Cricetulus griseus: one gene and its partner. The protein of the gene in region 1 purifies or fractionates together with the protein of each later gene. This does not show direct contact. Links are inferred from orthologs where the notes say so. Each region holds a gene or a part of one and is shown on either strand. Other genes may lie near its edges. The genes, in order: Katna1 and Katnbl1.

Region 1 (3,822 bases):
GGCTGCTCTTCCAGAGGTCCTGAATTCAATTCCCACAACCATCCGTTATGAGATCTGGTGCCCTCTCCTGGTGTGCAGATATACATGGAAGCAGAATGTTGTATACATAATAAATAAATAAAATCTTAAAAAAAAATTATATATATTCAATAACCAGGCAATGGTGGAGCACACTCAGGAGGCAGAGGCAGGTGGTCTACAGAGCTAATTCCATGATAGCCAGGGCTATACAGAGAAACCCTGTCTTGAAAACAAAACAAAACAAAAAAAACTTGAGGGCGCTGGAGAGATGACTCAGCAGTTAAGAATACTAGCTGTTCTTCCAGAAGACCTGGGTTCAATTCCCAGCACACACACACACACACACACACACACACACCACACACACACACACACACACACACACACACACACACACACACACGGCAGCTAACAAGTGTCTGTTACTCCAGTTCCAGGGGATCTGACACCACCACACATACATGCAGGCAAAACACCAACTCACATAAAAATAAATTTTAAAAAATTTGGATCTTGGTGCATTTTTGGATTTCTGATTTTTCAGATTAGGGGTTAGGGATGCTGAACCTGAATCATCATTGACAGCATCTTATATTATATCCCATAACTCTAATGGCTTAGAAGAATGGCCACTATAAAAAGAATAAACAGGGCACACAGTAGATACAGCTGTTAAGCTTCCAATTCTAAGATGCAGACACCAACGTTAAAAGATGAACTTCATTATGAAGTTCTCCCCAGCCACTAGAATACATACCAGTACTACTAGTGTATGTAGCAATTTTACTATGAAAATAGATTTTACTGTATAAATATCAATTACTAGAAACTTTAAATATTATAAAAATACCTATTAACCATCCATATTTTAATTAAAAGTATGTAACAAAATATAACCAACTTGTAGAAAAGTGAACCCTTACAGCATGCTGAAAAAGGGTACATATCCTTTATTAGATATAAAGTTGAGAATGTTGCACTAAAAGCAAATAAAAGCAACATTTACCATAAGCTATAGACATAAACAAGATGTGTGCACAGAAACCTCCACCCAGGGCTGGCAAGCTGGTTCAGTATGTAAGAGTGGTTACTGAACAACACTGAGGACCTGTCCCCTCAGATCCCACAGAAATATGGGAGAGAGAACAGAGTCCACACAGTTGTCCTCTGACCTCCAATTTGTGCCACAGCACATGCTCCACCCCATCATACATACACAATAAAAATAGCTTTTGTTTGTTTATTTGTTTTTAGACAGGGTTTCTTTGTGCAGTCCTGGCTATCCTAAAACTCATTCTGTAGACCAGGCTGGCCTCCAACTCAAGAGATCCACCTGCCTCTGCCTCCCAAGTGCTGAAAATAAAGGTGTGACCCACCACTTCGGGACATTAAGTTTAAAACAAACAACAAAAAACAAAACATCAATCTTCTCAACATTAGAAGGGGGCCCAAAAGATGAAACTGTGTGCTTAGTCCCACTTTGTATTTGACTTGTCAATTTAAAAGAATCATGCTTGGCAGTGGTGGTACACACCTTTAATCCCAGCACTCAGGAAGCAGAGGCAGGTGGACCTCAATGAGTTCAAGGCCAGTCTGGTCTACAGAGTGAGTTCCAGGATAGCCAGGACTGTTACACAGAGAAACCCTGTCCCAAAAAACAAAAAACCTCAAGGGACTGGGGATATTCAGTTGGGAGACAGCTTGCCTCATATATGTATGAGACCCTGTGTTTAACACCTTATACACCAAAAACGAAGAGAGGCTGGAGAAATGGCTCAGTGGGGAAGAGCAACTGGCTGCTCTCACAGAGTGCCAGGTTTGATTCTCAGCTGCCACAGCATCTATACCTCCAGTTCCAAGGGATATGACTCCTTCTTCTGTCTTCCAAAGGCACTGTACACATGGCATGCAAGCAAAACACCCATCCATATAAAATAATAAACTTTAAAAATGCAAAAAATAATAGCAAGCACAAGCCCCGGAGTCCTCAACATCACCATATAAATTGGTCATGGTGATGTGTGTCTGTCATCTCAGTGTTCAGGTAGGAGGACGAAATTCAGTGCCATGCTGGCTACCATAGCCATTTTGAAGCCAGTCAGCTCTACAGGGAGTCCTGTCTCACAACAAACAAAAATAAAAATCTCAGGACAACATACTGGTACAGCCTCAGTGGTGACTCAGTTTTTACTGTATGTCCCACTTACACTGCATATCCTCTAGCTCTGTCTTCAAAGACAGATTTTAGCACATGCCCATATTTTGTCTATTTTCTGTTTCCAAAACTATCAATTATCTTGTGATGTGACTTACCAACGAACATTGGGATTCTGAGAAATTATATCTCTTTCCAAAGCTTCTACTAAGTCCTTGTCATATCCAGTGCTGTCAAATTTATTTGCCTCTTGTTCTGTAACTGCAGCAGGTGATTTGTTCTACATGAGGAGATAAAAAAGGAAGAGCTCTTAATTGACTGAAATTCTGTATTTTGTTTCTGTGAGTCATAAACAATGATCAGACCAAAGTGATTTTGTTTACTGAATGATCTCCTGGTACAAACCTAACACAAGTCAAACTTCTGACCCTCTTGCCTCCCAAATGATTGGTATTACCACCACACCTGGACAAGGAAAACCAATCCTAATCAATGTGGATTTTTCCAAGAAACCAAAGAGGCCAGAAGAAAGTGATGCGGTATTTCCCAAGTGCACAAAGAAAACTCAAGATCCTTCCAGTGTAATAGCCTTCAGAAATGAAGAGGATTTCAAGGCATTCTCAGAGGGGGGGATGGGAACACATGCCTAGAACCCCAGCACTTGAGAATTAGAGACAAGAGGACTATAAGACCACCTCACAAATTCAAACCAAACCAAACCAACACCGCCCTCCAAAAAAAAAAAAAAAAACTTGAGATAAGAAACAGAATTTTATCAACCCTGAAACACGGGCAAGTCAGGAAACAAAACATGGAACTATGTAAATATGACAGACTTTATTTCCCTATGAGTTTTCTAAATAACATTGGCTAGCAAAAGCAAAAATTACAACAATCTGATGTAGTTCTAAATTAATATAGAGGAAATGTTTATAATTGTAAATAGAAAGAATAAAGGGATATATATGGGACTCTGTACTCAGAAGTCAGACAATGACTATCAGTAAATCACTTCATACATACATACATACCAAGAAATTATAAATAAGTAGATGTGTATCCACTTAGATTTAACTTAAGTAAAAATTAAATTAAATTTTCAGTTCTGGCCTGGCATTGATGGCACATACCTATATAATCCCAGCATTGGGGAGGCAGAGGCAGGCAAATCTCTGTCAAGATCAAGGCCAGTCTGGTCTATAGAATGAATTCCAGGACAGCTAGAGCTATTATACAGAAAAACCCATTCTTGAAAACAAAAACAAACAAACAAACAAAAAAACCATTTTGTTTTGAGGAGGCTGGAGAAAACACTCTACAGTTAAGAGCACTGACTTCTCTTCCAGAAGTTTACGCTCAATTCCCAGCACCCATATGGCCCTTCCAACTGTAACTATAGTCCTACAGGATCTAATGCTCTCTTCTGGTACACAAATGAACATGCAGATAAAACATTCATATACATAAAAGAAATAAACCTTAAACACTTTTGTTCTCGCTCTTTGTTGGTAAGTATATGTATGCAGCTGCCTGCAGAGATCAGAAGAGGGTGTGGGATTCCCTGGAGTTGCAGGTACAGAGACTGTGAGCTCCCTCATGTAGGTGCTGGGAATCAAACTCAGGCAGAGCAGCAGCAGCAGCAGCAA
Region 2 (3,822 bases), on another chromosome or scaffold:
GACCCTTTCCCCTTCTCCAGGGGACCATGTATGTCTCTCTTAGGGTCCTCCTTGTTTACTAGCTTCTCTGGCAGTATGGATTATAGGCTGGTAATCCTTTACTCTATGTCTAAAATCCACATATGAGTGAGTACATATCATATTTGGGGTTTTTTGTTTGTTTGTTTGTTTGTTTCGGTTTTTCGAGACAGGGTTTCTCTGTGGCTTTGGAGGCTGTCCTGGAACTAGCTCTTGTAGACCAGGCTGGTCTCGAACTCACAGAGATCCGTCTGCCTCTGCCTCCCGAGTGCTGGGATTAAAGGCATGCACCACTAACACCCGGGATATTTGTCTTTTTGTGACTGGGTTACCTTGCTCAGAATGGTTTCTTCTAGTTCCATATATTTTCCTGCAAATTTCAAGATTTCATTGTTCTTTTCCCACTTAGTAGTACTCCATTGTGTAAATGTACCACATTTTTCTCTATCCATTCTTCAGTTGAGGGGCATCTAGGCTGCTTCCAGTTTCTGGCTATTATAAATAGTGCTGCTGTGAACATGGTTGAACAGATGTCCTTGTTATATGAATGTGCTTCTTTTGGGTATATGCCTAGGAGTGGAATTGCTGGATCTTGTGGTAGACTCATTCCCATTTTCTTGAGGAATCGCCATACTGATTTCCAAAGTGGCTGTACAAGTTGGCATTCCCACCAGCAGTGGAGAAGTGTTCCCCTTTCTCCACATCCTCTCCAGCATAAACTGTCATTGGTGTTTTTGATTTTAGCCATTCTGACAGGAGTAAGATGGTATCTCAGAGTTGTTTTGATTTGCATTTCCCTGATGGCTAAGGATGTTGAACACTTTCTTATGTGTCTTTCAGCCATTTTAGATTCCTCTATTGAGAATTGTCTATTTAGTTCTGTACCCCACTTTTTAATTGGATTGTTTGGTGTTTTGGAGACTAGCTTCTTGAGTTCTTTGTATATTTTGGAGATCAGCCCTCTGTCAGATGTGGGGTTGGTGAATATCTTTTCCCAGTCTGTGGGCTGCCGTTTTGTCTTGCTGATATCTTCAACAAATGGTGCTGGCATAATTGGATGCGGACATGAAGAAGACTGCAGATAGACCCAAGCTTATCACCATGCACAAAACTTAATTCAAAATGGATCAAAGACCTCAACATAAACCCAGAGCCACACTGAACCTATTAGAAGACAAAGTGGGAAAAACCCTTGAATTAATTGGTACAGGAGACTACTTCCTGAACATTACACCAGTAGCACAGACACTGAGATCAACAATTGATAAATAGGACCTCCTGAAACTGAGAAGCTTCTGTAAGGCAAAGGACACAGTCAGTAAGAAAGGTTTTTAAAAATATAATTTTTAACTTTTTTGCCATTGTCTAAAGCATGATTTGGAAGACACATTCCAGGTTAGTAGTTGTAATTGTTTCTGGAGAATGATGTCAGAGACTTTGGCCAGTGGAGTATTCACTTTTTGTCTTTAATAGTTTTGAGCTAAGTTTTCATACCATGTATTACCTTGTTTAAAAATACATTTAGATGGTACATTTGTAACAGGACAGAACTCAGGTTTGTGCTTCTTCCCCTTGCTGCTCATTTGATAATTACTGGCCTACATGCTTACCTTTTCCTGCATTCACATGCAGGAAATTAAGTCTTGGGTTTATGGGTTAGCTAGAAATAATTTAACTGTATAAATTAAATGAATTTTTGAAAATTGGTAACAAGGGGGAGAGAGAAAAGGTCTTGTTCACGTCGTTCATTTGCGGTATTGAACTGCAAACTGTAATATTCCTTTATGTGGGCCAGTATAAGGAGTTGGCTTTGTATAATTTAAAGCTGTGTCTACCAGACTGTTTTCATTAAAAAAAAAAAAAAAGTCTGTGTCATGTTTCATTGTGGTTTTAATGCATTAGATGATTGCCTTTCAGGTTTCTCAGGACCACGAGACAATGGCCCAAGTTCTGTTCAGCAGGAATTTGAGATTGAATGTAGCTTTGACTTTCTGGAGAAAGAGAAGTATAAGTGAACTTGTAGCTTATTTAGTGAGGTGAGTGTGACTTTTTGATCTTTATTTAACATGAATAATTCTTAATGATATATGAGAAGTGACTCTTTTAAGAAGTTTCTATTGGTTAAACATTTAAACCATTGTATTTAGCATTCAGAGAGTCAGTATAGCTTAAATTACATTCATCACCAATTTAAGTGTAATGAAGATACAGAAAATTGTCTTATCAGATTGAACAAAGCTGTTACCTTTTCTAATTGCGATTCTTATCTGTAAAACTAAGTGGGAAATTTGCCATTAAAAAAAAACAAAAAACCTTTGGGAATTTTAAGTGTCACCTCCTCATTTTATTTAAGTCTCTCAAATACTCCCTTACTGATGCCTAATTGATGACTCATTGAGTACTGTCTTTGAAAAGATGTAATTCATTCTTTTTTATCTGTCTTCTTCTTTTCTCATCCTCTGTAGCATTTACCATTAGCATCCAGCTCTATGCGTTTTTACTTGTTTGTCTTTCTTTGATCCACTGCCACCTCCTGCAACCACTCAGGCACTGGAAAACAAGCCCTGTCTGCTTTCCCCTTTATATCTTCAGTACTTTATCACTTCAGTGATAAATACTGAAGTTATTTTTTAAATATTGAATGCCTCCAAAGGAGGATACAAATTGTAATATGAATGTAAGAAAGGACCTCGGCTCTCTAAGCAATGGTGTCTGTCTTGTACTCGCAGGATAGAAGACCTTGGAGTTGTGGTAGATTGCCTTCCTGTTCTAACCAATAGGTAAAAACAGTATTTTTTCAGAAAAAAAAGTAAGCTTTAAAGAAAAATTATAATCAGTTCATATTTTATAACTTAGAATTTCTTTTAGTTTACAGGAAGAAAAGCAGTATATCTCACTTGGCTGCTGTGTAGACTTACTGCCTCTAGTAAAGTCTTTACTTCAAAGCAAATTTGAAGAGTAAGTACTAATCTAAATCTCCCCTTTTCCCTTCCAACGTTCTTGAATTTTTGTTTTGTGAGTACATGGTAGGAAACTGGTCTCCATGGCATATATATGATATCTGGTTTTTTAATTTAAAAAATCTGAACTACATTTTATTTATTGTGACAGAGGAAATCATAACAACTTGTAGGAGTTGATTCTGTCTTCTACTATATGAATTCCTGAGATAACTGGGCTGTCAGGTTTGGTGTCAGGTGCCTTCACCCACTGAGCCCTCTCTCCATCCCTATTTTTTCTATTCCCAAGGAGTTTATAGTATGATTAGGAAAGAAATGTAAACAATAAATGATAGTTGCAAAGATTCTACGAATAGCTGTGTGTGTTCTCTGGTTTTATGAGGAAGATTATAAAAGTAATGACGTATGGACTGGGGTGGTGGCATGCCTTTAATCCCAGCACTTGGGAAGCAGAGGCAGGTGGATCTCTGAGTTTGAGGCCAGCATGGTCTATAGAGAGTTTCAGGACAGACTCCAAAGTTACAGAGAAACCCTGCCTCAAAAAACAAACAAAAAATGAAATACATTTTTCTTAAGGGGGAGATAGGGTGTGTATATGTGGAGGCGTGTTCGTGGGGGAGGTGTATCATCTTGTCTAAAGGCTTGTTATATGAAAACAAATACTGTCAAAATATTTTATTTCAGATATGTAATAGTTGGCTTAAACTGGCTTCAAGCAGTAATAAAAAGGTGGTGGTCAGAACTCTCATCTAAATCAGAAATTACAAGTGATGGGTATGTATAGCTTTAAAGATAATTCATGCTGAAATTTCTATGGAAAAATATCTTAAGTAGTGAGTTTAAC

Evidence for each region.
Region 2: the proteins of Katna1 (region 1) and Katnbl1 purify together in Homo sapiens (affinity purification with mass spectrometry; 3 studies listed by BioGRID and IntAct, counting the BioPlex papers as one, with this or other methods). This does not show direct contact. The link is inferred for Cricetulus griseus from reciprocal best matches to the Homo sapiens genes KATNA1 and KATNBL1.

What each region holds. Positions count from the first base shown.
Region 1 is NC_048595.1:280,357,947-280,361,768, forward strand, and holds part of Katna1 (katanin p60 ATPase-containing subunit A1), read right to left. Parts: intron 2,457-3,822; coding exon 2,335-2,456; intron 1-2,334. UniProt on the Homo sapiens protein: Catalytic subunit of a complex which severs microtubules in an ATP-dependent manner. Microtubule severing may promote rapid reorganization of cellular microtubule arrays and the release of microtubules from the centrosome following nucleation.
Region 2 is NC_048599.1:65,946,247-65,950,068, reverse strand, and holds part of Katnbl1 (KATNB1-like protein 1), read left to right. Parts: intron 1-1,935; coding exon 1,936-2,054; intron 2,055-2,747; coding exon 2,748-2,798; intron 2,799-2,886; coding exon 2,887-2,976; intron 2,977-3,662; coding exon 3,663-3,752; intron 3,753-3,822.